2 linked regions of the Drosophila melanogaster genome follow. Each later gene encodes a partner of the first gene's protein in a complex. Each region holds a gene or a part of one and is shown on either strand. Other genes may lie near its edges. The genes, in order: Scm and ph-p.

Region 1 (6,934 bases):
TGAAACACGCGCTGAAGGATGACGGAATCGTGTGCTCCCAGGGCGGTAGCTTCTGGCTGGACCTGGACTACATCAAGAAGACCATGTCCGGCTGCAAGGAGCACTTTGCTAAGGTGGCCTATGCCGTCACCTCCGTTCCGTCCTATCCCTGCGGCCACATTGGCTTCGTCATGGGCTCCCTGAACAAAAACCAGGACTTCGCTACTCCCAAGCTTGGAAAGTCCGAAATCGATTCTATAGACCTAAGGTACTACTCCTCCGAGGTTCACTCCGCCGCCTTTGCCTTGCCTCGATGGGTGCAGAAGCACTTTTACGAATGACCAGGTTGCGGAAAGATTCGTGTGTATCTGTTTGTTAAAAATAAATATGATAATAATATGACTTGTTTATCATCGCTTCTTAAATTCTTGGATATTTTCAACAAATGCTGACTCTTGCAATGATTCATTTTTAGTCGAATTTTTGTAGCCTGAGTATTTTCCTTCCAATCCGACTACCATCTTTCAGTTATTTTACTGTTGAAAATAGAACAAATTGTAATGTTTATTACGTAATGATATATACAGTTGGCTCTATTTAATTTTTGTATTTGTAAGTGGATGCTGGGTTAACATAATGAGACTTATTGCAATATTTTACACGACCGAATGTTACTCTCATTTATATATCGCATATATTGCAAAACTTTGAAAGGAAGCGTTTCTTATATGCAAAAATGACCTTAACTGCATGTGAATAATTAACTAAAAACTGATATTCAATTTCAATAACTTAATAGAAATTAAATCTTCAACCTGTTTAATGACTAATTAAATATTGTTATAGTTAGGAAACGCAATTGATACATAATTACAAAATTAGATGTAAAATATGTACAATCATTTAATATTGGTTTTTATTTTCTCGCCTATTCTAAAGTTAATTATCATTTCTTTTGTGTCGGATAGATTTTGGTGTCTAATGTGCGTGTTTTTATGTGTAATAAATATAATGTATGTGCATTGCGATTTTGGTAGCCGAGCTCCAGTTTTCGAAAAAGTCGAATCATTTTGTGTCCAATTGAGAACTATTTCACATTTTTCGAAATAGATGGATAAACTAATTATTGTGTGTGTACGAATACTCCACTCCTTTGACTGGGTAAATTTGAATAAACCTATAAAAATTCCTAATTCAAGTATAATAATTTTGTCTAAATAAATCAATTTGTAAATGTGTATTCCAAAAAAAGAATCACGAGCAGTTGGAAAAAAATTAATAATAATGGTTTTGAAAACCGGAGCTTGACTGTGTATAATTTGTTATGCGATTGATTTTGTATAGGGAATTTCATGTCTTCGCGATTACATTTGTTATAGCGTGTTTTATATTATCAATATAATAAAATAGGGTAGGGGTTTTTTCTTCATGAATGGCCAACACATAACACATCTATGAATATCGTTCATGTTTGCTTTGCTTTACGTTAAAGGGAGGTACTAATTTGTTAACAATTTCTATATAAGTCAAACCCGAACCGAGTCCGCTGCCTGAAACTTAATGTTTTTCTGTTTAGAGTGCCAGATTATTTCGACGACCATTGACCTTATTGACTAAATTGCAGATTTTTAAGGCTGGTCCTAGCTTCAGGCCCATGTACTTCATCATCATCTCTGAATTTAGCAATAATAAAGCTTTACCATCGATTTCCTACAGACGAAAATTAGATAAGTTACTTTATTTAAGGTAATTGGTAATAGCTACTACTTACGTGCTTTCGGAAGAGATCACCATGAACTGCAAGGGAGTTGTCGTTGCTCTCGATGTACTGGATCACCTCTTCGATGGTCCAGTCGATCGGCTGCGACCGCAGATGTGAGTTTGCCAAAGCAGAAGTGGGCGTGCTCACGGGTGAGGTAATCGCGGTGTAGCTCGGAGAAGCTCCCGCAGTTGCCGCTGCTCCAGCCGGCGCGGTGGCCGCCTTAGCCGCTGTAACTCCACCTGCAGCCAGTGCAGTGGACGAGGCTGACTGGCAGCCCGTGAACGGCGTGGACACGGATGTCGGCAACGAGGCGCTTGACGAGAGCGTCGTCGGACTCTTGTAGTAGCTATTCGAGGGCTTTACATTGGCCTGCTCTGGATGAACTTCTGCCACAAGAGGTGCCAGGTATTTGCCAATTGTGCTGGTGTTCGCCGATCCTCCGGCTAGGCTCGTGCTGGACGACGTTGACGAGCTGCTGCAATGGCTGGTAGATACGTGCGTGGTCTGGCTCGTATCCTGGTTTCCGTTTGTCGCAGAGCTATTCGTATTCGTGTTTGCGTGGTGTTGGAAGCGTACTTTGCGCAGAGCCTGCGTTGTGGAGGAAGTCTGCGCGTTCGCTCCGTTGGGCTCCGATTTGATGACCACCTTGTTGCTGGACTTGCTGGCACTGTTGTTGTTATTGTTGAGACTGTGATTGCTGTTTTGCTGGCTTGCAGGCTCCTTGCCATTGTTCGTCGAAGTTTTCGACTTGGACTCCACTGGCGATTTGACAGCCAATTCCTGCTTGATAATCTTCTCAGAGGGTGATGTCGTTGCCGAGTTGGATTGACGGTTTCGCTTGTCGGCGAGCACTGGCGAGGAAGGCGGTGTGGCTGACTGAGTCAGTTGACGCTTCCGACTATTGGCGCACTTCTTGCACTCCTCCGTCTCGTGGACCAAGGAAATGAGATTCGCACATGCCCGGCATGTAGTGCACAGCGTTTCGATGAATTGGGCGAGGCTTTCGTCATCCTTCATTCGCATTGGCGATGGTATTTTTACCTTTAAGAAACGAAGAGTATATTTTAAACATGCTTTTCATTGAATTTAATTGATCTTGAACTCACTGTGAAATTTTTCCCCGCTGCCGTCACGATATGAACATCTCCTTCCAGGGCAAACAGCAACTTTGAGAGCTGTTGCGTATCCGTGCTGGCAGCTAAAACCTCCTGCAGGCAAAGCTTGGCCAGCGTTTGGTAGGTGGGTCCCGTCACCATGCAGGGCAGTTTGGAATTGTTGATGAACGGACCGCCCTTGCAGTTCGGATGGAAGTGGGCTGTGGCAGGGGAAGCGGGAACCATAGCCTCGGACTCAGCTACAACAGTGTAGCGGGGTCGAGGGCATCGCTGTTTGCTAGAGCTGGAGTCCATGCGCGATTTATGGCCCGGTGGCTGCATGGGATGACAACTTCTAGCGCACCAGCCGGCGGGAAAAATGTCACGCGATCGGTAATTGCACCAGTAGTCGAATGCCCCTCGCCAACCATCGAATGTTACATGGATCTGATCATCCTTGATTGCATCTACTGTTGCACAGCAGATGAGCTGCGGGTTCTTCTTGTCGACAGCCTCGAGTTTCTGGCCCACCTTGAACAGGTTTTCTTCTGGCTCTGGCGGCTCTGGCTGGAAGATCTCTTCTGGCGCCACCATGGCATTGTTGAGGATCTTGCACAGATAGCCGGGCCAGCTGGATGCGTTCATGCGGAATCCCAGAGGCGGCTGCAGCATGCCACCGTTCTTTTCACAGTGTCCAATAGCATGGATCTCCGTAGAATCGACCAGCCGCCAAAAGTCATTCTGGGAGTCACTTCCATCCAGGCGTAGCCGCAGTCTGGAGCCAAGCACTCCGACCACGGTGGCAATGCAGGTGGAAGTGACGTTGCGCGGATCCAAAGCCTCCAGCTTCATTCCGATTTTAAAATCATTGTTGGGAGGATTCTGAGCCTGTTTGAAACATTTTGCAGGAGCAGCTTCGCTACCCGTTTCCTGGAAACCACAAAAAGTATGAGATTGGGGGTTAAAGCATTATCCCAGCTTGACTTACCTCTAGATAGGCATCCCAGTCGAAGACGTGGAAGCTCTCGTATTGAAAGGGCCCCGTTGGTGCGGGCGCTCCACTGGCCAGCAACTTGCGCTCGCTTTCCGCCAGACCCTTGCCCGATGCCGATCCGCCGCTGTGCCTGGTCGAGCAGTTCTTCTTCTGGTGCTTGTTCATGCACATGATCGAGCAGAACTCCTTGTTGGGCGCCCCATCGCGGATGACGTTGTCGCACTGGGTGCACGCCCCCTTGCTGTACGCCTTGCGGAACTCGGCAATGCATGTTTCCGAGCAGAACTCCTTCTTGCCGGTCTGCGTGGGCAGGACGTACTGCAGCGGTAGCTTGCCCTCGCCGCACCAGGTGCATGTGGCTCGTTTGGCCGGTCTACCTCGTTGCCGTTGCGTGGACGCGGGCGATGTTGTACTTCCAGGGGATGCGGATGTGGATGTGGAGGAGGCGGATGCGGATGCGGAGGAGGTGGCATTCGTACTGGCCCCTGGCGCAGCAGAATTGCTCCCGCTACTGGTACTGCTATCACGTCCGCCCGACATGGTTTCTCGCGTGGCTGTCCTAGTAGTCGCACTTGCTGATTCGCGCCGGCAAGCCCCTTGGCATCTCAGGCGATTTCGATTTCGTGTGTTCCGATCCGGCGGTCAAATCGCATTGCGGCTGCCTTGAATCATTAGCCACCAATAGCAAGTTTTGTTTTGCAGCACTAACTTTCCGATTTCTTTCGATTTGGCCTGGCGAAATTTTGCGGCGTTCTTGAGGTCACGTAATAACAAATTGGTGGCCAAATCGCATCGCATCACCCAACGAAAACAAACGCGAGCCGCACAATTAGTTTCTGGTTCACCAAATATCGAGCTTTATATTTAGAGCGCTGCGCGGATCTTGTTACTCGGTTTCAATCCGAAATTAGATGATTTTGAGTCGCTTAAACTCCAAAATGTTAGACTTTTTTTACTTTTACGCTCGGTTCCGCCATATTTGTTTTTCTAGTGGTGACATTCAGATCTTTGCGCATATCGATAGTTGCTTACCTGTGACAGCTCACGAAGCGATGAAAATAATCAACTAATGTGACTAATCGAAAAATGTTATCGAAGCAACTAAATGCAATTTTAAAATAACGTTAAATGGGAAATCACATAACTGACAATAAATAGTCAATTTAAAGAGCAAAGTAGATAATGCTCAATACTTTTACCACAATGTTGTATTTAATTTAACTGCTAATATAAATAAATATTTGTCATTTTTAAAAACGTAAGCCCTTATTATAGAAAAGAAATTTGGATTTCCTGTCAAAAATTGTACAGCGTAATGTAAAAACTATTTAGTCTAGTAAACTGAACCGTTTTGGTTTTGAGAATATAAACTTATAACCGAATTCCTACGTTTTAATATCAGCTCATAGTATTTCCCAGTAAAACTAACAAAACGCTCGTGAATCAAATTTGCACAGCATCAAGTGGGCGTAAATTGGTGAATAATATAAAAAGTCTGTAAATTTGAAAGCGCACGGCACACATCAGCCGAAAATCAAAAAAAAAAAAATGGGTTAGTCAACAAAACTAATATCTACCAATTTATAGAACGCTCTGGTATGTAAACATTTCCATTGAACTGGGAGAAATTCGCAATAAAGCGGTTCAGATAGTGGAAAATGGGTTGAACAAGGGAAAGTTTTGATATTTTAATAAAATCATGTATAACATAGGAAAGCGGTTTTCGTAATTACCAAAACCATGAAACAATCAATACTGAAATACAAAAATATGTTACTATCAAAATAATGGCTTATACGATTGGCCTAAGGCTTTATTAGGTCAAGCAAATTAATATTACTTGCTTACCTTTCGTTAATTTTATTTGCTGAAGAGCGTCGCAAATGTCAAGAAGTCTAGCAAATTACTAGAAATTACATAAGTGTGTTTCGTTTGCAGTAAATTCAGTAAGTCGAAAGCGGCTCAAAGATGAAACAAGTTGGAAAAACTTTTCTGGGATTAGCCGAAATGTATATTGGTCAAACTTTTTGGCTAACTTCTGCTGCTGTTTGATTTTTGTTCGCTTTGCCTAAATGGTCCGTAACTTGATTTAATTGATGTGCTTCAAAGAATAATCCGCTCACTTAGTCGCGTTTCAAAGATAACCAACTGGAAGCCAAATATTGCGGTCGAAAAACTTGATAACACTGTTAATTGAATGTTTTGAAGGCGGCGTGATGTCCCTCTTTAATAATCAATAAAGACATTCCTAATTATTAATGATTAAACTTGACCGAAACCAAGTTCCCTGACACTCACACAATCGTCAAATCGCGCATAATTGGATGGGACCATCGGCTGCCCATAACAAGGATAATTGGATGAAATGAGGCGGCTGCCTTTTCTGCTCCTCATTAAATGCCCGTTTACCGTTTAGTCGCCTGTCAAATCCTTGATGGGCTATTAGAAAAAGGGGTGTCCAGAGACGAGTTCTTGAGTCATTGACTTGTTACGCAAATTGGACAAAAGAAATTTCTGGCTCCGAGTGGGCACTGGAGTGGGGATTGAACTTAATAAGCATATTCATTAATGGGTGTACAGAACCAAGTACAAGGTTGCATCTTACACCCTTATGGATATCCTTTCCTTCTTGAATCCCTAAGCAAAAGTAATCAGGCAAGTAGCTAGACTTTACTAGTTGCTCTATTAAAAATTAAAAGTAAATTAAAATTGCCTCGCACTACCAAAACAGCATTACAGCTCGCATAAAAGCACGTATAAATTGGCGGGAGTGGCATTTTGACGGAATTCAATCAGCCATAAAGCATCCTGCTGGGCAGGAAATGGAGGCGTTTGCCTACGTGCTTAATTACAAGCCGACGCATGCACATTCTGCATACATAAAAGGCGAAGACACGTGTTCCAAGCAATTAAAAAGTATGTCAAAGTGGGTGATCAACGCGCCCAAGGACGCAGGACAATTGCGAATGCTGGCAACACTGTTGCTTTTTTTGAGTGATGCGTGGGCTAGCCAAACTAGTTGATGTAGATGGCATGAAAAGTTTGGGGGGTCCCAAATTATAAATTGCTTATCTGGCTGTGTGTACAATGTGGATAGCAATGTGA
Region 2 (4,936 bases), on another chromosome or scaffold:
GGCAAACGTGGGCAAACGATGTTATTGCGATTTAAAAAAAAAAATTTTGAAAAAAGCGAAATTTTTGATTTTCGAAAATTTTCGAACTTTTTCGAAAATTCATATCTCAAAAACTGGACGTGGGCAAAAAAAACTAATTGGTGGGCAAACATGGGCAAAAAATGGGCAAACGATTCCAGCTTTCAAATTTCAAAAATTCGATTTTTCCGACCCCAGCTTCTTTGAGCTATAACAAAGTGATATCCGTTTTTTTTTTTTTTTTTTTTGTTTAAGCAAATATGGCTACTTGGTAAATACAAAAATCTGGTTTTAGTCATTCAAAAAAGTGTGAGACAAATGCGGGAACTAGCAAACAAAAACGCTCTTATTAAATAATCATATTTACAATGTAAACATAAAAGATGACTTTCGAGAGTGGCAGAAACAAACGCGGGAAAAGTAAATATGACTCTGAGGTAACGATCACCTTTAACTCGGGATAATATCAAAACTATAGTTCCGACTTAATCACAAGGTCAAGCCTGAAGATATGTACCATGTCATTTCAATTTCTAATTAAGAATTGTGTACCCTGGTTAACTTTTAGGTAGAGATCCCGAGCCCGATCCCGATCCCAATCCCTATCCCGAAAATATTCGTTCTTTTTGTGGACCTTTTTCCGAACCCGCCCTTTTTCAGCGACAATGAACATTTGGCCAACTACTTAACGGACTTTCGCATTCAACGAATGAAGAGAAAGGAGCTGCCTGACAGCCTTCGCATTTCACATCGATCTTTATCTATGGGTTTTCGAATTTCCATGAGCAGCATGGTAGTCGCACTCGTTTTCCACGTTCAACGTTCGACAACAACAGCCCGGAAAACTAATTTAGCCACGCAGCTGGCACCGTTCGATATTATTGTAAAAGGGCAATAAAGCCGATGCGAATTGCAGGCGAAGTTCAAGGACCTTTCCATCGAAATGCTAAAAATGCTGACAGTTGGGAGCAACACGAGATGGTTAGTGTTTTATACAGTAGTGCTCAAGCTAATAGGATTAGTGGACAAACGTAAATGGCTGAGTACTCCACATGGTAAGGATGTTTTTCTAGAAATAATTAACTAATATTACTTCCTGAATCAGTTCCCTGATATAGTTCAACTATGAATGATCTAACTGGAGAAGCGTGGTTTCAAGGTCCTATTGCATTGACCGCGACTGTGATGCCCGGCAGTCCAGAGAGCCTGATCCCCACCCCTTTCCATCGCCCAAAAAGCCCGCAAGGCCCATAAACAGCAAGAGCATAAAAAGCATGAGTGCAAAAAAGACAGAAAAAGGAGCGAAATGGGTTATAAAAGCCGGTAAAAGCATTTTGGCAACCCTCATGTCGCTGCTACCCCGTAAAAGAAAGGGAATATGGGGTGGGTGGTCCAGAGGGGTGGAATACTCGCCACAGGGTGGTGGGTGCGCGTGTGCAAGTGTGTGTAAGTTAAGCTCACGGCCGCACGCTGCGAAAAACCTCTTGAGAGAAAAAAAAAGACTGGTTTCCATGTCGCCATGGAGTAGGGTACATACATTCGAGCTCGAGTGTGTGAGAACCCCCGTAAAACAGCCTGCTTGCAATCGGGGGGAAAGCAGTAGCGGTGGGAAAGGAATGATCAAAATGCGGGGCAGCACACACACACACAGACACGCCGATAGGGGTGCGGGGGAAAGGTCGCGCTCAAATCAAACATCACCTCCAGTGGATTCGGGCGTGCAAAATGCGCGGGAGCGAGCGAGGAGGGGGGGGGCCTTGACAGCCTATTGATTGATACACAAACGAGTTCTGCAATCGAAGAAGATGAAACAAATGTGAGTGAACGAGATGAGGCTATGGCCAGGCCGTACACACAGTCACATAAACTCAGAGCGAGTGCGGTGTAGCGTAGGTGTAAACAGAGTTGTCAACTATTTATTTACAAAAACTGTTGTGCTTTAAACGAGTCTAAAATAATTTAATCATTCTGGTTTATTTTCTTGCCACGAACAATTTAAGTTTGTAGGTAAAAATTAGCATTCAGTGATAACGGACTGTAAGAAATATAAAAGTATTCAATAAAATTGAATCTTCGTTAAACCGGAACACAGATTTCTCAGATTCGTTACAGCTGACAACCCTAGACTGTTTATTTCGGCAGAGTAAAGCAAAATGTAAGCAGGGTTGCCGCAGCAACAACAAAAACTGATACCTTTCGATATAGAACTTTTGTTTTCTTTATGTTGCTTTGTTGCGCGAGTGAGAGAGGGTTGCACGGAGAGACGGAGAAATCAACCACCACCAGCCGACGCACACACACAAATGCAGACACGGGCATGCATTGCGAAATTCGTTGTTAAAAATGCAACAACACCGCACAGCGGGGGGCGTGTGTCGGTTGGATGATGAATGGCGGAGAGGGCGACGGAGGGGAAACTCGTTTTGGGTTTCATGAATTTATTTTCTTTTCTTGGCCCGCCAGTCGAGCGCATTTTATGATGACAGAGAGCACAGAATATCCACTCGCTGCATTTTTACGAGCATTATGATTAACGTGTCATTATTATCCGAATACGATATAGAATCAATATCCAATGCTCAAGAGCAGATTAAACCAAAAATTGTAAACAAAAAGCACAAGTGCAGGCAGTACAAAAGCAGTGATAAAAATAAAACCAAACTAAACAAAAAATACCTTTTTTGCATAAACTTCAATGCACGACGATCCATTATTCAAAATAAAAACAATATTTATAATAAATTATAGGTATGCATGCGTCGGCTTAGGCGTTTTGTTTTTGTTTTCGGCGGCGGCGGAGACACTCGTGGTTGTTTTTGTTATAGTCGGCATGGCGCTTTCTTTTTAGTCCTCAGTTTCTTCTCTTTTTGCTATTTGCCGTATTATATTGTACATTAACAAACACGCACATGTGTGAAGGCAATAAATATAAACATACAACAGGCAACACCAAACATATACATATGTATGTAACGTGGAACGCAAGACAACAAAAGTACACAAAACGAATACGAAAATCCGACAAAAGTCCCAGTGTCTCGTGTGTGTGTGTGTGTGTGTGTGTGCTTGCGTGTAAATGAGTGTTTCGTGCACGGGCAGTAGTAATTAGTACAACCTCCACTCACAGTCACTCCACTTCAACTTCTCCCCGCTGGCTGCAGGCACTTTTCTTTTTCTCAGTGTAACGACTAAGCACCTGTGCACGCGATCTTACATAAAATTAAGCCACAGTCACAGCACTAAGTACTTGTTTTAACTGCACTGCCTACGTCGCCAGCGACGATTCGCCAGCTAGGGGCTCCACTGTGGCGCGGCATCACTTTTTATGTCTGCACATCTGCACTAGCTAATCAACAGCACCGTTAGCTCTTTTTGAAAAAAATTTAACAAATTTGCAGGGTATCCAGTGAGTATGTCGCGTCGGCGGGTTTTTTCTTCGTTCAATACACATGCGATGCGGTATGCGACACATACGACACCACACCAACACGAACGCAGAGAGAGCAGAGCGCAAGAACCGTACACCGCCAAGTTAAGTTTCAAACTGAACCGCGCGCCACAGCGACAACTCTACTTTTCGTTCGGATCGGAAACAAAATGAGCGCATGTGCGCTGAATATGTGTGTGTGTTGGTGTGCAGCTGGATCCGCTTCTCTCTTCTCAGATGCCGTTGCGACTAATAACTTTTCTCTATACCGAAATGCACGGGTGCGAGTGCGACGCCACTAGGAGTGGCCCTGGCCAGTTAGCGCGTGCGAGAGGGATGCCGTGCGTTCGCTTGGGGTTGGAATGAAACGGCAGCAGTTCGTTTGACAAAGCAAAACCAAAACGAGTAAAAAAAACAGGAAGACTACAGCTGGCGGGCATGTGTATGCGTGCTCAACCACCCCGACTGAAAGCCCCCTTCCGTTGCTGAAAACATAACATGGTCTGGTGACTCGACTTTCAAATACCCCTTTTTCATATACCATTCCTCGCTAACTTCAGTCGTATCCTTAAAATGAAAACCCTTCTTAAATATTTATTTGTAAGTTATTGGTGCTGACTACTAACACAAATTCCAGTTAAAACCAAGTGCCCAGTATACCCTTTTACTTTGTGGGTACCGGGTATGTACATACATAAATACGCGCGAAGCCAGTTTTATGTGTGTACACTCGAATGTCTACCGCCCGGCCCGACTCGACAACGATTGTTGCTATACTTCATCTTCTTTTTTCGTGCCATCACAACCACCACCACTACGACTACCTTCCTACCTCTACCTCCTTTCTCATTCCTTCTTTTTCACATCAGATCGGGTCGGATCGGCTTTACCTTATTATTAGTTGTGCTTGTCAGTAACACACGGGTGTGTCGGTTGAGAAGGGGAGGATAGCGTATGCGCAGAGGCAGAGCGAAATCTTATTCTCTCCACCCCATTGAACAGTGGTAAGCGATCCATTATTATTGGATTGCTTTACAGTTGCAGTTTGAGAACCAAGAGTACAGTGGGTCAATTTTTTAGAACAGCAATTTTTCCAAACTTTTTATACATATAAACAATGTTACGATAAGTAAAATGAAAACGTTTAGTAAAATAGAATTATATAATAGACATACGTATTGAGTTGATTTATTAAGTTTTAAGTTTATTAATGTTTCAAATATCCACCACTCATGACCCACTGTGCCTGTCTTTGTCATTTCATTTTTCATTTTGTGCCAGCCCGTGCGTGTGTGCATGCACCATTTGTAGTATGTGTGCGTTGCTTTGGGCTCTTGTTGGTCTTCTTCTTACTCTTCCCACCTCATCCAACAACAACGTCGCTGAGCCCCACAAATGTTTTCATTCCGATTAGCTTTTTGTTGGCTTGTCTCGTCTCGTTTCCTTTTCTTTTTTGCTGCCGCCATATTATTTTTAGGCTTTTTAAGTGCT

The links.
Region 2: the proteins of Scm (region 1) and ph-p are in contact, whole or in part, in a crystal structure (PDB 1PK1), measured with the Drosophila melanogaster proteins. Residues at the interface, in NP_001247006.1 of Drosophila melanogaster: Asp819, Ser821, His825, Met848, Lys854, Leu855, Gly856, Pro857, Leu859, Lys860, Asn863; in NP_476871.2 of Drosophila melanogaster: Gln1537, Gln1538, Glu1539, Ile1540, Asp1541, Gln1543, Ala1544, Leu1547, Leu1548, His1552, Ala1556, Met1557.

Annotation. Positions count from the first base shown.
Region 1 is NT_033777.3:9,632,787-9,639,720, forward strand, and holds Scm (Sex comb on midleg), read right to left. Parts: upstream 4,826-6,934; 5' UTR 4,370-4,825; coding exon 3,824-4,369; intron 3,766-3,823; coding exon 2,848-3,765; intron 2,783-2,847; coding exon 1,751-2,782; intron 1,690-1,750; coding exon 1,552-1,689; 3' UTR 573-1,551; downstream 1-572. Other genes in the region: SpdS (spermidine synthase), read left to right, coding at 1-320. UniProt on the Drosophila melanogaster protein: Polycomb group (PcG) protein. PcG proteins act by forming multiprotein complexes, which are required to maintain the transcriptionally repressive state of homeotic genes throughout development.
Region 2 is NC_004354.4:2,133,323-2,138,258, forward strand, and holds the start of ph-p (polyhomeotic proximal), read right to left. Parts: upstream 3,301-4,936; 5' UTR 2,730-3,300; coding exon 2,695-2,729; intron 1-2,694. UniProt on the Drosophila melanogaster protein: Polycomb group (PcG) protein. PcG proteins act by forming multiprotein complexes, which are required to maintain the transcriptionally repressive state of homeotic genes throughout development.